Linked DNA regions of Callithrix jacchus. The protein of the gene in region 4 binds, or shares a complex with, the protein of the main gene of each other region. Links are inferred from orthologs where the notes say so. Each region holds a gene or a part of one and is shown on either strand. Other genes may lie near its edges.

What was found.
Region 1: NSMCE3 (region 4) and NSMCE2 share a complex: the UniProt entries of both Homo sapiens proteins name them as parts of the SMC5-SMC6 complex. The link is inferred for Callithrix jacchus from reciprocal best matches to the Homo sapiens genes NSMCE3 and NSMCE2.
Region 2: NSMCE3 (region 4) and SMC5 share a complex: the UniProt entries of both Homo sapiens proteins name them as parts of the SMC5-SMC6 complex. The link is inferred for Callithrix jacchus from reciprocal best matches to the Homo sapiens genes NSMCE3 and SMC5.
Region 3: the proteins of NSMCE3 (region 4) and NSMCE1 are in contact, whole or in part, in a crystal structure (PDB 7DG2), measured with the Xenopus laevis proteins. The link is inferred for Callithrix jacchus from reciprocal best matches to the Homo sapiens genes NSMCE3 and NSMCE1. Residues at the interface, in XP_018121157.1 of Xenopus laevis: Gly57, Glu58, Val60, Gln61, Tyr62, Leu64, Ile65, Lys66, Gln68, Lys69, Val82, Thr100, Gln102, Gln103, Val104, Phe105, Gly106, Phe107, Asn123, Leu125, Gln126, Arg127, Val128, Gly130, Asp131, Gly132, Met133, Arg134, Asp136, Glu137; in NP_001083134.1 of Xenopus laevis: Ile5, Glu7, Gln10, Arg11, Leu13, Gln14, Ala15, Met17, Ser18, His19, Leu30, His33, Leu37, His38, Leu54, His57, Leu58, Pro60, Leu61, Phe62, Met63, Val84, Asn86, Ile88, Thr89, Met91, Ala92, Ser93, Asp94, Gln149.
Region 5: NSMCE3 (region 4) and NSMCE4A share a complex: the UniProt entries of both Homo sapiens proteins name them as parts of the SMC5-SMC6 complex. The link is inferred for Callithrix jacchus from reciprocal best matches to the Homo sapiens genes NSMCE3 and NSMCE4A.

What each region holds. Positions count from the first base shown.
Region 1 is NC_133517.1:72,007,635-72,010,892, forward strand, and holds the end of NSMCE2 (E3 SUMO-protein ligase NSE2), read right to left. Parts: intron 2,823-3,258; coding exon 2,705-2,822; 3' UTR 597-2,704; downstream 1-596. UniProt on the Homo sapiens protein: E3 SUMO-protein ligase component of the SMC5-SMC6 complex, a complex involved in DNA double-strand break repair by homologous recombination. Is not be required for the stability of the complex.
Region 2 is NC_133502.1:94,535,278-94,538,112, forward strand, and holds part of SMC5 (structural maintenance of chromosomes protein 5), read right to left. Parts: intron 2,039-2,835; coding exon of another isoform or gene 1,982-2,038; exon of another isoform or gene 1,022-1,981; intron 910-1,021; coding exon 766-909; 3' UTR 1-765. UniProt on the Homo sapiens protein: Core component of the SMC5-SMC6 complex, a complex involved in repair of DNA double-strand breaks by homologous recombination.
Region 3 is NC_133513.1:27,811,864-27,815,721, forward strand, and holds the end of NSMCE1 (non-structural maintenance of chromosomes element 1 homolog), read right to left. Parts: intron 2,427-3,858; coding exon 2,310-2,426; intron 1,577-2,309; exon of another isoform or gene 1,452-1,576; coding exon 1,331-1,451; exon of another isoform or gene 854-1,330; coding exon 774-853; 3' UTR 620-773; downstream 1-619. UniProt on the Homo sapiens protein: RING-type zinc finger-containing E3 ubiquitin ligase that assembles with melanoma antigen protein (MAGE) to catalyze the direct transfer of ubiquitin from E2 ubiquitin-conjugating enzyme to a specific substrate.
Region 4 is NC_133507.1:7,525,994-7,529,681, forward strand, and holds NSMCE3 (non-structural maintenance of chromosomes element 3 homolog), read right to left. Parts: upstream 2,390-3,688; 5' UTR 2,298-2,389; coding exon 1,410-2,297; 3' UTR 763-1,409; downstream 1-762. UniProt on the Homo sapiens protein: Component of the SMC5-SMC6 complex, a complex involved in repair of DNA double-strand breaks by homologous recombination. The complex may promote sister chromatid homologous recombination by recruiting the SMC1-SMC3 cohesin complex to double-strand breaks.
Region 5 is NC_133513.1:115,348,580-115,352,437, forward strand, and holds part of NSMCE4A (non-structural maintenance of chromosomes element 4 homolog A), read right to left. Parts: intron 3,470-3,858; coding exon 3,370-3,469; intron 2,358-3,369; coding exon 2,267-2,357; coding exon of another isoform or gene 2,263-2,266; intron 1,237-2,262; coding exon of another isoform or gene 1,131-1,236; exon of another isoform or gene 864-1,130; intron 858-863; coding exon 763-857; intron 1-762. UniProt on the Homo sapiens protein: Component of the SMC5-SMC6 complex, a complex involved in DNA double-strand breaks by homologous recombination. The complex may promote sister chromatid homologous recombination by recruiting the SMC1-SMC3 cohesin complex to double-strand breaks.

The DNA.
Region 1 (3,258 bases), on a different chromosome or scaffold from region 4:
AGCAATTCTCATACCTCAGCCTCCTGAGTAGCTGGGATTACAGGATCACACCAAGGTTAATTTTCATATTTTTAGTAGAGATGGGTTACACCATGTTGGCCAGGCTGTCTCGAACTTATGACCTCATGATCTGCCCGTCTTGGCTACCCAAAGTGCTGGGATTACAGGTGTGAGCCACTGTACCTGGCTAAGTTGTATATTTTTAGTTAAGACAGGGTTTCTCCATGTTGGCCAAGCTGGTCTTGAACTCCTGACCTCAGATGATCTGCCCACCGTGGCCTCCCAAAATGCTGAAATTACAGATGTGAGCCACTGCACGTGGTCTTTTTTCTTTTCTTTCTTTTTTTCTTTTTATTTTTTTTGAGACAGAGTCTGCTCTGTTGTCCAGGCTGGAGTGCAGTGGTATGATCTTGGCTCACTGCAACCTCCGCCTCCCAGGTTCAAGTGATTCTCCTGCCTCAGCCTCCCGAGTAGCTGAGATTACAGGCATGCGCCACCTTGCCCGGCTAATTTTTGTACCAGGCTGGTCTCAAACTCCTGACCTGATAATTATTAAAAACGCATGCTTTGAATGAAGAGACCCCCCCCAAACAGGCTTTGTGTGAGCAACATGGCTGTTTATTCACCTGGGTGCTGGTGGGCTAAGGCCGAAAAGGACATTAGCAAAGGGCAGTGGGACAGGAGTTGGTTTTATAGGTTTGGGGTGGGCAGTGGAAAGTTACAGAGTAAGATCAGTTACAGTGGTGGGGGGTCCAGGCAAGGAGTATAACATTACCATAAGTTCAGTTGCAATGGTGGGTGGGATAAGAGTAGTTAAGATAGCAGGGTGGGGTGAGGAGTAGTCACATTATCATAATAACCGTTAAGATGGCAGGGTGGGGTGAGGGGAAGCTTATGTGGGTGGAGGGGGAAGCTCCACAGGGCAATCAGGGATAATGGCAAACACGGGTTGCGGGGGCTGTGTGAGGTGGGGGGGTCATCAGCCGAGGCAGGCCTCCCAAAGTGCTGGGATTACAGGAATGAGCCACCTCGACCTGCCTCTTTTTTAATAGAGATGGGGACTTGCCATCTCTATTAAAAGTTTTATGGTCTCAAACTCCTGGGCTTAAGTGATCCTCCCGCCTAGGCCTCCATTTTAATTAGACTTTTTTTTGTACATGGACACACACACACACACACACGCATTGTTTATTTACAAAAGCGTTGGTTTCTAAATGTGGGCTTTGAATATATTTTCAGTTTCTAAATAAAGTCAATAGAGAGGAGTAGAGTATGGAATTAAAAGTGGAGATTTTAGGACTGGGATCTCCAGATTCTGCTCCCAGTTCAGCCATCTCCTAGCTCTATGACTTTCCATGGGTGGCTTTGCTTCTCTGTGCCTAGTTTTCCTTATCTGTAAGAACTGTACCTCTCTCGATAGGCTATGAAGATTATAGGAGTTAATATATATGTAAAGCACTTGGAATAGCACCTGGTATACAGTAAGTACTCAATAAATGTTAGCTATTATTGGCTATTCTTGGTTTTCCAGTGTCACCAGGGTATGTTTCATTTGGTTTAATTAAATAGTAAGCTTGATAAAAGGTTGCTAATGGAGGCAATAGATTGGTGCTCATCACACAATTAGAATGTAATTGAAGACATTCAACTTAAAGATCCTGCTGGTGTAAATCCACAGACTCTCAGGGGTCATAGGACGTTAGAGAGCATCTTGCTAAACACCTTCATTTCATGGCTGAAGACACCAGCGCCCAGGGTCACTTGCAGCCAGCCATCCAGAAAAATAGAGAGCAGCTGGAATGTAGTTCCTGTTGATGGCAGTTTAGGCTCTTGGAGGGCTGCAGCAGAGTTCCACTATAGACATCCATCATCACTGCAATGCACTGATAAGCCAGTCTACTGGAGCATTCTATTCCATTCAGAATGACACTAAAAGCATTTATGTTTGGAACTGTCAATATACAATGTAAATACAGGAAAGCAAACTGGCTTTGCTTTATAACTCAATGGCATTATTTACTATACGTGAGTGGGGGTATTTCTATATGTTTTAATTTCAAATATCACTTGAAAGACATACCTTTTTTTTTTTTTTTAAGATAGAGTCTTGCTCTGTCTCCCAGGCTGGAGTGCAGTGGTGCGATCTCAGCTCACTGTAACCTCTACTTCCTGGATTCAACTGATTCGCCTGCCTTAGACTCCCGAGTAGCTAGGATTACAGGTGTGCACCACCCCACGTGGCTGATTTTTGTATTTTTGGTAGAGATGGAGTTTCACTATGTTGCCCAGGCTGGTCTTGAACTCCTGACCTCAAGTGATCTGGCCACCTTGGCTTCCCAAAGTACTGGGATTAAAGGTATGAGCCACCTGAAAGCCATTCTTTAGTCAAAACTATTATAAAAATCAGTCTGATGTCCTCGAAATGGCAATGCCTGCGCCTCTGGAATAATCCATATATTAGGAGGTGTGCAGGCAGGACACCGCAGATGATCAAAGTTTTATTCAACATTATAGAACACTTAAAAATAAACAATATGCTTGCATTTCTGTTGTGTAACTTAGAAAAATGTTTTCAAGCACACTTGTTTTACCCCAAACAAGTATGCTCTGCAGCCAGTCCCTAACCGCCGGGTTCAGCACTGCTCTCAACAGACGGCTGGGGTAGGAGGTAGGCTGCGGATGCCTTGCGGGCAGGTGGCTTTTCCTATTCGGAATGACGATGTCTTTTCTTGTTATGGTTCTCAATCGCCCTTCTAAGTGCTTCATCCTGGACGAGATCCGACATTCTCATATCCGTGTGGCTACAGCCAATTTTAGGGCAACTGTGAGGGAGAAAGAACGTCAAGTCAGTCCCCTTTACTGTCTTAAGCAGAAACTTCTTTTATACTCAAGTATTTAAGTGAGGCATTTTACCAGAAAAGGAAAAGCATTAAAAATCAGGACCAAAGTGTGCTCATTCATTTATTCACTGAGCCCCTCCCTGAACCAGGCCCTGTCCAGGTGCTGGGGACACAAGCAATACCAACATGTGAGTAGTGCCTACACCATCATGGAGCTAAATTTCTTTCTTTCTTTTTTTTTTTTTTTGAGAATGAGTCTCACTCCGTCGCCAGGCTGGAGTGCAGTGGCTTGATCTTGGCTCACTGCAACCTCCACCTCTCAGGTTCAAGCAATTCTTGTGCCTCAGCCTCCTGAGTAGCTGGGACTCCGGCTAATTTTTGTATCTTTAGTAGAGACAGGGTTTCACTATATTGGCCA
Region 2 (2,835 bases), on a different chromosome or scaffold from region 4:
TTAGACATTTTCATATCAATTTTTAAAAATTAAATATAACACTGGGAGAAACTAGAGCTTAGGCTCTAGAGTCATCTTTAGGCTCTAAAAGTAATTAAAGTTACTCTGCAATTAAAGCTCAGGGATACCATATAAGTAAACTTCTTGTGATTGATTAAACCCTCTTCCACTGTACCCTTGATTCGTAATAAGTACCTTTTAACATGAGAACTCTATGACTCATGGTCAGAGTTGCTAAGGACCCAAGTTCAACCAAGATTGAAGAAGACTTAACTTTTACAACCAGATGATGTTTTAGAAAGGTCATTATGGTTTCCATTATCAACGTATTTGTATTTAAAAGCAGGTTTCCGGCTGGGCGTGGTGGCTCACGCCTATAATCCCAGCACTTTGGGAGGCCGAGGCGGGTGGATCACGAGGTCAACAGATCGAGACCATCCTGGTCAATGAGGTAAAACCCCGTCTCTACTAAAAATACAAAAATTATCTGGGCATGGTGGTACACGCCTGTAGTCCCAGCTACTCGGGAGGCTGAGGCAGGAGAATTGCCTGAACCCAGAAGGCGGAGGTTGCGGTGAGCCGAGATCGTGCCATTGCACTCCAGTATGGGTAACAACAGCAAAACTCCGTCTCAAAAAAAAAAAAAAAAAGGCAGGTTTCCAAAAATAACTGCTTTTGTTTTAATCAATCTCCTAACTTTTATTCAGTTGAGCCACACTTATAAACAGAATTTAATAGAAAAATTCCCAAGTCTCCTCTTTACTTTTATTGAGAAGGTTGAGTGAATGTAATACGGCGCCGCCGTCTTTGGAAAGCCTTTAAATTCCATCTGTTTGGTTCCAGCATATGAGGGCCATTGTAGACAAACAATACTGTCATCTTTTCAGAATAAGGAAGATTTTGCAGGAGCTGTCAGTATTAAAACAGACAAACTGTCACATAAGCTCTATAATGAGAAAAAGTTTCCAACCTTATATGTGTATAGTCAAATGTATTGTTTTATTTGTAATATTAATAAAACTTTTTTTTTTTTTTTCACTCTGTTGCCCAGGATGGAGTGCAGTAGTGTGATCTTGGCTGGCTGCAACCTCCACTTCCCAGGTTCGAGATTCTCGTGTCCCAGCCAGCCTCCACAGCAGCTGGGATTACAGGCACGTGCTACCAGGCCCAGATAATTTTTTTGTAGTTTTAGAAGAGATGGCATTTTCATCCTATTGGCCAGGCTGGTCTTGAAGTCCTGACCTCAGGTGATCTGCCGACCTCAGGTGCTCTGCCTACCTCAGCCTCCCAAAGTGCTGGGATTACAGGTGTGAGCCATTATGCCCAGCCAGTAAGACTCTTACGGACCCCACCTCAATATAAACCTTGATGGACTGTAATCCTTACCTACATTAGTATACCTGGCCTAAGGAATAATCGAAATAAGGAATAATTGAGCCCTCTAGATTCACAGGATAACTGGGATTATTCAACTTCCCAGGGAGACCTTGGAAAAGAGTATGTCCTCCATAATTTTCCTAAGATAGATACTTTCACTTTTTGTTGACAAACACTTCTCAAGCAACTTGTTTGACAGCGTACTATCCTGAAAAATGTGTAACAGAGACGTTTATAGGCTAAGGTATTTGGCAAGCAGTAGGGTATTAACAGATCTGACTATTCCACAAGAATATCTACTGAAAAAATTAGACAGATGACACTATTTAATAAAAATTTGAATGCAGGATGGGCAAAAGCAATTTTTTGTTTTTTTAAAGACAAAGTATCATTCTGTCACCCAGGCTGTAGTGCAGTGGTGTGATCTTGGCTCACTGAAACCTCCCCCTCCTGGTCTCAAGTGATCCTCCTATCTCAGCCTCCCGAGTAGCTGGGACTATAGATGCATGCTGCCAAACCCAGCTAATTTTTGCATTTTTTGTTTGTAGAGATGGGGTTTTGCCATGTTTCTCAGGCTGGTCTCAAACTCCTGGGCTCAAGCGATCTACTTGCCTTGGCCTCCCAAAGTACCAGGATTACAGGTGTGAGCCACTGCACCTGGCTAAAATTTTTCATAAGTACTTAATTAAAAAATAAAAAATCTGATTACATTAATAAACACATTTTGAATATATACACTTTGTAATTTACCCATAACGCTAGATTTAACAAAAGAAAATTTCCCATTGCAATGGTTGTAGATTATGGAAAATTCTCTATAAAGATAATTCTGTTTTTATCAAAGTTTAACCTGTGAGTAGATGTTGGGATACTTAAATTTCCCGTAGGCCAGCACAGTGGTAGTGACAAATGAAGAGGAAGGGTAGTACATGACAAGAGAGGCTTTTTTTTTAGGAAAATGAAAAGCCAGAGTTTTAGGGGTTGCATTTCCCAGTCATCTTTTAGTGCTGAAAGAGTGCCTTTTCCAGAAAAGGAATGAGAAAAATCTCAATTCCAGAACATAATGATATGACTCCTATGTTTCTTCCTCTGATTAAGTAGGACACTGGAACTTACCCCTTTTGTTACCTTTTAAATTCCTTTTTGGGAAGTATTCCTGCTAATATGTACATAGTGGGCCAAAAACTATATGATTAAGCCACAGGGGATTTCTAAGTATATGACCACTTTTTTTTTTTTTTTTTTTTTTGAGACGACTTGCTCTGTCGCCAGGCTGGAGTGCAGTGGTGCGATCTTGGCTCACTGCAACCTCCGCCTCCCTGGTTCAAGTGATTGTCCCGCCTCAGCCTCCCAAGCAGCTGGGACTACAGGTGCACACCACCACGCCCACCTAATTTTTGTATTTTTTACTAAAAGAGATGGGGTTTCACCATGTTGGCCAGGATGGTCTCGATCTCT
Region 3 (3,858 bases), on a different chromosome or scaffold from region 4:
CACCAGGGGTCACAGCCTGCTGCCACAGTGGGGGCATCCAGGGGTCTTCCGCAGAGAGCACGGAGGCAGGGTGTGGGTCGGGGCTGGCGCTCAGCCTGAGGCAGCAGCGGTGGGGCCGCAGGGCTGCTGGCAGCTGAGCTGGACAGGATCTGGTGACAGTGGGATGCAGAAGGGTCAGGGAGAGGAAGCATGGAGGCCGGCTCCCAGTCCCGGCTGGGGCAGCTGGATGGCAGGGCTGCTGGGCACCGAAGGGGAGCAGAGAGCCCAGGGAGGGAGAGCACGCATCCTGCCCAGACACCCGGCCTCAGCCCATTCAGACCAGCGGCACCTTGGGCCAGGGGAATCCAGATTGTGGGGAACTGAGGAGGCCAAGGCTCATATATCCAGGCTCGGGCCAGCCCAGTCCTGCTGGGACAGCTGGCCACAGCTGGGACTGGAGGCAAGGCTGTTCTGAGCAATGACAGTGAGCTCCCCTGGGCCACCGCTGGGGGTTCCGGTGGCTTCACCTGCTGGAGCCCAAACCCAGGGGGATCTGAGTGACGACTGAACTCCAGGAAAGAAGGCAAGGCCATGACATGGAGCCTCACACACAGGCTCGAGACCACAGGCGGGGCTGAGCAACTTTGCAGGACGGTTTATTCCAAAGCTGCGGATGGGAAGTTAAGAACAAAGAGGTGACTCGTGTGGAACCTGCAACACAGATGCCTCTCTTCCCAGAAGGGCTGTGACGTTCAGGCCCCCCAGGTGGCCAGCCCCTCGGCAGGGCACCACGGCTAATGCCGCCTGGACCGCAGGGACTTTCTGTTCGATTTCGAGATACCAGGCTCCCTCTCCTTCTCAGGGTCGAAGACTTCTGTACACAGAAAAGGCAGGGAAGACACAGTGAACGGAGGGGCTGGCGACACAGGGGCACCAGCTCAAGCCAGCAGCGACATCTCTTGTGCCAAGGACTCTGTCCTAGGCCTACACCATTCCCACTGCTAAGCCTTCCCAGCCCAGGAGGAAGGCAGAGTGAGCCCCAGTCCACAGAGGAACAAACTGAGGGAGCTGTGGACATGCTTTCGCACCCCCTAAGAGGGCCACCAGAGAGAGCCTTGTCTATGCAAGTGCTCCTGTGCGTAGGAATTTCTACTGGGTTCCAGAAAGCCCTCTGGAACGGTGTAGGCAGCTCCACCTTCACTTCTGCAGTGGCTGCTTCTAGGACTCAAGCTGCTAACACGGACCCCCACACACCATGGAGCGCGTCGGGGGCCGTCTCCAAGGGCTTCCCCCGTGCCAGGCCTGTGTCCTGCTGACCCAGCCCTCCCACAAGCGCCTCCGGCCCAGGCACCTGGGATCTCATGGGGCCAGTAGTCGTTGCAGTGAGGGCAGCGCGGTTCGGCATTCGACCGGAAGTACTTGGCCACGCAGGGTAAGTGCATCCTGATCCCGCAGGTCTCGCAGCTTTGACCCTGAAACAAGAAAGGCCAGTGCCTGTGGAGCTCATGCACACCTCCGTGTTCCGCAAAGCTCCAGGGAAGCTGCAAGGAGAATAGTCAGCAGGCAGCAGGCATCGTGTTACCTTCCGGGCCCCAGATTAATAAATACTGAAAATAATCCCAACGCCTTAGTGCAGTGGAGTCTTTGGTTTGTTTGCTTGTTTGTTGCAGTCGGTTTTACTAAACAATTCTGTATACAGGAATGCAGAGACAGAAGCCAAGGGGCTCGCCAGCTCCTGCACTCAGATCAGATCCTATAGGAGGCGTGTGGACAGCCACAGCTTTTCAGAAGGTTATTTGCTAACATGGATCAAAAGCTTTAAAAAAAAAAGTGCACTTTGTCCCAGAAACTCCACCCAAGGAAATAATCACCAGGTGCCCAAGGATACAGGTGTATAAGGGCTATGTACAACTGCAGTTACAAAATACAACTGCGAAACGACAGAAACTGAAAGGACACATCGACGTCCACGCTGGTTCAGTGGCCGCAAAGCCCTGCAAAACATCGGCGTGAAACAGACTACTCAGGAAAGCAGCATCAATACAGATGCTCACACACAACTGCCAAGACAATGCAGCCTGCACGGAAGACTCAGAAGAGCCTTCCTGAGAATAAAATAAGCGAGAGCCCACGGACTCCAACAGCAGAGCCAGGAGGAGGGGAGGCAGCGCGTCCCTGCGAGCCGCAGTGGGGAGGCAGCCTCTGACACGTCCTGGGAGATGGTCTTGGCCAGATCTCCTAGGAGGAAGCCTGGGAATGAGGGAGGGTTGGGCTCAGAGCCAGGAAGTATGTGTGCAGACCCGGGAGCTGATGGCCTGCCCCATGGGTACCTGGATGAGGAGGCTGTGGCAGATATTGCAGATCTTCACTGAGTCAGGGTACGTCTCCCGGATGTACTGCTCCATCTCCAGGATGGCCCGGCCGTGCAGGGTGAACTCCCCTTCCTTCTGCAGGGACACATGGGAGGCAGCCACCCTCAGCCAGGCCCTCTCCCCACTCACCAACTTCTGTTCCCTCTGCTATCCCACAGCCCAGAGCCCAGGAAGATGCAAGGGTCGAGGCAGCTTTTCCCCAACTCCAGCCAACAGGCATCAGCCACATCCCCCTGGCAGAGCCTCAGCAAGGGAAACTGTGGCAAAGACCCAAAAGGCATAGAGACGAGGTTCCCCTATACCCACCTTTTCTCAGCACCTGCTGTGCCTTCACACCTGACTGCTCCGTCTGCACAGCAGCCACGGGCAAGACAGCCACAGCCCTCCTGCAGGTGAGGACACTGAGGCCCTGGGGTCAGTCTCCCCAGGGTGCGAACCTGAGCACGCACCGCTTCCATCAGCCACCCACCCCACTCCCAAAGAGCAGCATCCCCAGTGCCTCCCAGCACTTCTGCCTCCAGCTGCAGCAGGGACCCTCAGATATCACTTCCAGCCACATCACTTTACAGATGGAGCTGGAAGGAGTCTGGAGAGGGCAGACGGGTCCCATCACACTGTGGGGAGTGGAGCCTCCAGTGGAAGCCAGGCCTCCTGGTTTCCACACAGGGGCGGGCCACCCATCATGCATCCTGAAAACCCTGGGAGAGCAAGGAAGTGCATGAGTAATGCAGCTCCCCAGGCTGACCCTACTGCCAGGTCACAGGAAAGAGACAGCATGGAGGAAGGCCCAAGGGAGGCAAATGACCTGGGACCCAGGACACGGACCTATGCAGGCTGATTCCAGCTTCTCCACAGTCAGCTCATACATTGGACATCAACTGCACCAGGAGATGGCGTCACTGATGCCTGTGAGTCACCTGAGTGCTCAACCGCCTTTTCTGTTATTTTCTAATTTTTACAAGCAAGAGCTGTCACTCCCGTTCCTGACAGGTAGAGCCCCCCACCCCATTCCTGCCTCCATCCCCACAGTGCAGCGTGGAGGGGGTGTGCTTGCGTAACCTGGGCTCACAGTGCGTTCACTCTGGTACACCGGTGAAGGGGTCTGGTGAGCACAGGAAGGGAGACAGGGCAGAGGTTGGGGTGTGCATTGCAGGAGCAGTGGAGGGAGGCCTGGGCACCAGGCACATGTGCCCTACACCATGGCAGTTGCTAGTGCACAGGGGCTTTCTGCCCTTCAAGTGCTGTGGGCACGGGAGGATGTGACCAGCCCCCAGGCCGTCCTCGGTCCTCGGACCTATGGCTGTTACCTTCCCCAAAGCTCCCAGATCCATCATGGCACTCCATCTTCCCGGCCACCGCCCTCTTCCACCCTCCCCTGCTCCTGCTGCTCTCTGAGCCCACTCTCCTCCAGCAACGAGCTCGCTACAAAACAAGCCTGGCCCTGTCACTCTCACCTCACTACCACCCCCCATCCCACTCACCCCCCAGGGCTTCTTACCACCCTTAG
Region 4 (3,688 bases):
ATAAAACAGCATCTGCTCTATGTAGTGGAGGAATACGATGGGGCTATGAACTCTTCCAGTTCATTCAGTCCATAAAACAAACTATTAGATGGCTATTATTTTTCTCATTTTACAGATAAAGAAATTGAGATTCCGCGCTTAAAACCTACCCGCACAATCACCATGCTGACAAGTTAGCATGAGCCATAATTCAAATTCAGTTTGCCAGACAGCTCCAAGACCCATATCCTTTTCCCTATAGCTATTTCCTATACCCTAAGGGGTAGATCTTATATCTCACCCTCGTGCTCCCACTGTTGAATGTGGGTTATACTCACCACACACATTATATTTCCCCATAAAACTATACATATAATAGAGTCAGACTAGAGGAATACACCTTTTGAACCAGTAATTGTTCCCATAGGAATGATTTAGAAAAGGATAATTAAAGTGGCAGCTCCAGATCAAGGAGGAAAAAAAAACCAAATTAACAAATTAAAGAATAAACTGACAAGTAAAATCCTCCACATCAGGGACTAAACCCACTTTACAGGTCAGGAAACATCTGCATACAGCAAGGAACCTACGTAAATTCATGTCAGAGTTATGGTGTAGCCAGGATCTGAACCCAGGCAGTCCGATTTCCAAGCAGGCACGGTTAATGGTTATGCTATTGCTTTAAAAGCTTTTTTGAGAGCCAGAGTGAGAAATACATTTTACCTCATGATCCTGTACACACATACAAAAGTGAAACAACACGATTTTAAAAACACACAATGCTTAACTGTTTCAAAAACACAGCATTTATTATAATAGAGTAGCAAGAAGAAAAAAAACTAAGTGGAACTACATGTTTAGCAACCAAGCTGAATAATTACGAATAAAAATAATTGCTATCTGGAGAAAACATACCATGTTCATTGCTTGGAACCATGAATAATACTTATATATGTATGAAATATAAAAAAAATAAATAGGTTAAGGTAATAAGGATATGGGCAATTATGTTATTTTTAATTTTATAAAACCTTTTATTTTTCCTTACAAACTGGGGTAGTTATGAGACCCAATAATAGCTAGCTTGCTTTTATTTTCTTGGCAGCAAAGCAACTCACTGTGTTTCTTCTTGCATATCTCTTCCAGATCATAGTCAAGTTTTCCAACTCGTTTTACTAAGCTAACAAAATTTTTCATACCAAAAACAGTAAAATCAAAACAAAACAAATCCTCCTTTGTTTATAAATGAAAATCTGGAACCAAATAACACAACGTTAAAGAACAAAACTGTGCAAACACATCCTAAAGCTACACACATTGAAGCGTTACAGAAATATGCTCCCTGGGTTCTCCCTTCCCCCATCCCTCTACAATGTGCCTTTGGGTCTCAGACTCTTGTCCCGAGATTCCCTCTGAATCCACCTCGGATTTCAAGAGGATGGGGCTGGGCCACTCGGCTGAGGTCTGGCCCTGTTCTCCTCATCCGCCAAAGCCTCACAGTACTGTGCTGGCCAGTCCTTGGGGTCTTGGTTATGGACTTTGGCCACAAACTTAAGAACTTTCATCTTGCTGGTTTCCAGGTTGGTTCGTGGGCCCCACTGGAATTCGTAGTCCACGGGGTCGGTGTGAGGTATCCGCCGGTACTCCAGGTAACGCTGTCGCACGAAGTCCTCAGTGATGAGTTTCTTTGGATCTCCGAAAACCAAATGCTTCTTGGTAGGAAAGACCCCTAGCCGCCGCAGAAAGTCCCAGACTTCAGTCTCCTTGATGGTGTTGCCCCTCATAAAGATGAGCCCCAAGACGATCATCAGGAGGCCCGTGGTGGGCGTGCCTTGGTCGCCCCTCACCTCGGCATCCTCCTCCACGGGCTCCAGGGTGTTGATGAGGATGTAAGTGTTGCTCTTGGGTTCAAGTTCCACCAGCTTGTACCCGAAGACGTACTGGAGGCGCTCGGCGGCCAGTTTGAGGAGGTCGGGGAAGATGTCCTTGTAGTCCCCGACGACGTGCTTCAGTATGTCGGCCCGCTTGATCGGAATCTTCTTCTGGTCCTTAATCAGCAAGAACTGCACCAGCTCGGACACTTTCAGCTCCAGCTGCTTCTGGGTCCGGGGCCCCACGGCGGGGGCGGCCAGAGAACCGCGGGCGCCCTGAGGCGAGGAGCTCCGCGCCCCCTGCGAGCCGCCCGACCCGCGGGACGTGCTCGGGGTCTCCTCGGCAACGCAGTCTCTGGGGGCCCGGGCGTCTCCGCCTTGGCTCGAGTCTCTGACCCTCTCGGCGTGGCCGCTAGAGCGGCCCCGGCTCCTCGGCTTTTGCAACATGTTACCGGCGGCGGGCTCCGGCGCAGACTCCAGCCGGCAAACACTCCGGCCCGCAAGCAGCCGCGGCGGGAATGTGGGTCGACGCAACAAGCGGACGCCAGGCCCTGGGCGGGGCCACAGGAGGGGCGCGCGGCGACGGCGGAGGCTGCGCGCTGCGTCACTAAGCCTGCGCCTTGCGTCGCGGCGGCTGGACGGTGCGCCTGCGCGGCTGCCGCGGGTACAAAATCAAATAGCGTTTTTTTTTGTGCAGCCTTTGCTGGTCCGGGCGATGATTTTTAGTAGAGTGAAGTGTTCTTACCAAACCATGCAAGCGGAGGACGAGAACCAAAATCCCTAAACAAGTGTGTGGCTAAATTCAGGACCACACAGGCTCAGGCAAGTTTTACAGACAGTATGATGCGTTTGTAAATCGGGAGCATTTGTCAAGATCTCAAAGATCAATATGTGAGGGGGGGGGAAATAAAAAAGGTGAAGAGGAAGGTACGGCTTTGGAAGTAAAGTAAAAGCATTTATTTCTACACAAAATGTGGGAGGACATAAAAAGCCCCAAGGGTTCTTAGTTTTCGTCCCTCCGCCCAATTTCATACCCTCCAACCTATTACCCCCAGTTACTTTCCCTAATGCCCCGGGGAGTCTGTTAAAAACCAAAGTCTGCGGCAGGCTTTCCTCGCAAGCAGGACTTCGGTTTCACTATTTCCGTATTTATATATTTTGCATTAAACTCTAGCTAGACAACTATGAGAAAACAACACGAAACGTGTCAATATTAAGTAATGTTGTAGTTTGTCAAGTGAGTGTATCTTTTCGAAAAGATAAAACCACTGCTTTGGGCTCACAACCACAATTTTAACAGAAATGGGCAAGAGGAATGCTGCAAACAGAAACGTGCACGCTCAAGAGATTACCATTTAATTGGGGGCATGACTCATCAAAAATTGCAATAATGTGGATCTCTTAAATTTCTTAATTCGTAATATATTAGCTTTAAAGAAAAGAGAACACTAGGGTACCATCCCTCATAATCTGTGATGTGTGCAGTCTCTGTATTTTAATTGTGCAACTCAAGCAGCCAAAATGAGTCATTTCATTAACTGAAACCATCAGCAGTCTGCTGCCAGTACTTCTACAGATCTTAGCAAATGTGTTTCTTCTCTATTTATTGACTTGCAAAGAAGAAACTGAATTTCCCTGTCTTTTTAAAGCTACCCAGAAAGTGGATAAACTCTTCAAAGAACCAAATCAAATTGATTTCCTCTTTAATGCAAATATATTCAAAGGAAAGCAATTTCAAATATATTCAAAGAACACATTATCTGAATAATAGCATCAAACACAACCTTATTAAAATTTTGTTAAATGTTAGTAGCATAACACTTTTGTTTGTGATTCAG
Region 5 (3,858 bases), on a different chromosome or scaffold from region 4:
CTGATTTATATGTATTTTGGAATACTCCACATTTTATTCTGCATAATTCTGTCACTGGGACCACTGGCAAAATATGCCTTTGTTATCATTTCTGAGAAAATACTTCGGTTGACACAAGCTTTTCTCTGAGGTTAATATCAAATTCATCTTATATGTGGGAATGCAACCTGAAGTAAGATTAAAGACAGTCTAAAGCAAATTTCCATGGTACATTTCTAAGTAGAGTTTTTTTTAAACCAATTTTGAAATAATTTCAGACTTAAAGGGTTATAAGACTACCATAAACATGTGCCATATGGCCTTTACCCATATTCATCAGTCGTTAAAGTGTCAGTTACCACATTTACTTTATCACTCTACATATTATTATTGAAGAATGAAGTGAGAATGATAGGTGGCCTGCTCCTTTTCCCTAATCTTTCAGTGACTATTTCTTGAGAAGAAGGATATTCTCTTATACAATATGACAGTTATCAAAATCAGGAAATTTAACAGTTTTACCATTCTGTCATCTAATCTACAATTGCATTCAAATTTTTCCAATTCTTTCTCTAAATAATGTCTAAAACATAAAAGCAAGCACATAAAATTTTAGGTAGTTTCTTCTACCTAATATGCCAAGATTAATATTTTGCTACAATGGGTCTGAAACATACACTGGCCAGTGTACACAGATACCTTTGCCAGCTCCCTTCTACAGCTTTTCTTCTGTATCCTTTTAAAAGCATATAAAAGCAATCAAAAAATAATCTTTAATCTTACCCGTATAATGAAGGAAACATGAAAGATGTTTTCCACTGTCCGGGGGAAAGAATGTGGATCAACCACAAAGTCAAAGAAGGAAATTGGGGTATCAGCTACAGACAAAAAGAAAAAAAATTAATTTCTGCTAATCAATAATATCAGTACTCTCTAGCATTAGCCAGACAGACAAAGAAAAGACGAGTACTCATCCTGATGCAAGAATGTCTATCAATCCAGGCTGGGCACCGTGGCTCATGCCTGTAATCTCAGCATTTTGGGAGGCCAAGGAGTTCAAGACCAGCCTGACCAACATGGTGAAACCCTGTCTCTACTAAAAATACAAAAATTAGCTGGGCGTGGTGGCACGTGCCTGTAATCCTAGCTACTCAGGAGGCTGAGGCAGGAGAATTGCCTGAACCCAGGAGGTGGAGGCTGCGGTTAGCCAAGATTGTGCCACTGCACTTCAGCCTGGGCGACAGAGTGAGACTCTGTCTCAAAAAAAAAAAAAGAATGTATATCAGTCCAATCCTTCTGGGGGTCAGTATGGCATCTCTTCTAAAATCATGTATGCCCACTTACCTGGAAGCCACCTCTAAAAGGCTGTCCTGCAGAAATACAAGCATAAGTGCACAAAATTACATACTAAGATCTTTTACTTCAGCAATTCACAGAAGAGTAAAATGCTATAAAGAACTTAATCATCCAACTGGGTATGGTGCTCACGCCTAAAATCCCAGCACTTTGGAAGGTTGATGCTAACAGATCACCTGAGGTCAGGAGTTTGAGACCAGCTTGGCCAACATGGCGAAACCCCGTCTCTACTAAAAATACACACACAAAAAAATTAGCCAGACGTGGTGGCGTGTGCCTGTAATCCCAGCTACTCCGGGGGCTAAGGCAGAAGAATCGCTTGAACCTGGGAAGTGAAGGCTGCAGTGAGCCGAGATGGTGCCACAGTGCTCCAGCCTGGGCAACAGAGTGAGACTCTGTCTCAAAAAAAAAAAAAAATTAATTATCCATTAATGGAGGATCTGTTAAATATATTTATAGTACAGCCATATAGTGGGAATCAGTGAGCAAAATAAGGGAGATCTGTATGTAATAATATGGAAGAATGTCCACATGGAAAAGTCACTTCACAGGAGAATGTTCATATTATGATTAGCTTGGAAAAAAAGAAAAACAAAAACTATTTAGGTAGATAGGACTGATAAACAAAATAATTTGAAAATATAGACCCTGCATTTTATAATGAGGTGGAATAGGTACTTTTGACACTTCTTACTTGAATGGCATATTTCATTTTGTAACAAAAAAATCCCCATCTTTTAAAGATAAAAATAAAAAGTTAACTTTGAAGTTCTCACATGAAATTTCAAAAGGAGAGAAGAATCCTCATTAAATGTATATGCCAAGAAGTTATCAAAATGCTTCAAACATTACATACAGCTGAAATTGCCTTTTCAACACAAGTATCCTCATTGGACAGATAAATCCACTTTGAATTTGGTGTTACACTTACGATCTTCTCGAAAATATGTCTGCAATAATCCCAAGATTCTTTCTACTTCTTTCTCTGTTGCTTCTTGGTGAGATTCTTCCATTCTGCTTAACTGAAAAAATTAAAGTGATTATCAAGCTGACGGCTGACTTACTGGCCTATTAACAACCTTTTCTTCTCTCTTGCACACCCACACTTTTAAATTGAGACAGGGTTTCTGCTTTGCCACCCAGGCTAGAGTTCAGTGGCACAATCTCAGCTCACTGTCACCTCAGACTCCTGTGCTCAAACGATCCTACCAACTCAGCTTCCTGAGTAGCAGCTAGAAGTGTGCACCACTACACCTGGCTATTTTTTTTTTTAATTCATGCTACTTTGTCTAATTAGATATGGGGTCTTGCTATGTTGCTCAGGCTGGTCTCAAACTTCTGGTCTCAAGTGATCCTCCTGCCTCAGCCTCCCCAAAGCACCTGGATTACAGGCATGAGCCACTGTGCCCAGTCTAAATGTCTTCTGCTGGGGATTGCTAGCAGTTTATATCCCCATCTTAACATATATCATTTAAAAAAATACAGACTTTCTAGTTTCAAGTTACTAATAGAAGAGTAACATTACAAAATCAACTATTTTCAGGTTGAACATAAAATAGCAAAATACAAAAGGGCAGTTTAGAAACAGTAGTTCTCAAGTGGGCGTGACTTTCCCCCTGTCCCCAGGGGACATGAGTTGTCATATGTAGACATTTTTGGTTGTCATAATTGGGGGGTGGGGGTGGGCTACTGACATACAGTAGGTAGAGGCCAGGGGTGCTGCTAAACACCCTATAATGCACACGACAGCTCCCAAAACCAAGAATTATCCAGCCCTAAATATTGACGGCGCTGAGGGAGAGAAACCCTGGCTTAGAACTGATGAAAACTACAGAAATTAGTTTAAACAAAGACAAGCAACCAATCCAATAAAATGCTTAATGGCTTAAATAAAATGATAAACATTTAAGTGACAAAACCTGGCTCCAGACCCAAAAGCTTAGAAAAAATGGCCAACTTGCATGCACATTATTTTAACAGCTATTTTAACTTCTAGGTGTTTTTTTAAAAAGCAACATTTTAAAACAAACAAACCTGGGCGGGCATTGCCCTCTCCTCTCGGACTGCAGGAACTCTTCTTGGACGATCAACTCGTGGCTTTGGCGCAGGGAACTCTCCATATATTGAACCCAACCTAATGAAAAATATGCTTTCATGCCTTTTTTTGCCTGTTGTTTAACAAACTAATTTCACTAATTACAACTAGTTTGCATGGTATAGTCAAATTCAGACCAGGCATCAGTGATATATATATATATATAAGCTGACATCAGACCAAGACTCTTGGTAAGGTTTATGACATCCTTTCTGACTTATTTGTATTTCTACAAAACTCCTAGGAGCTTTACTCAACCACAGATACCTCCTCAGACACCTTCATATTGCCCTGCACAGTAAGCCAGTCAATGTGCCTGTGATGTCTTCCCACCTAACCTAAAAGCCCTAATACAGACTTGGGCTACAGGAACAGATGTATCGTGTGGAGGCGAAAGCCCCAAGAATACAGGCTCATGTGGTCCCACT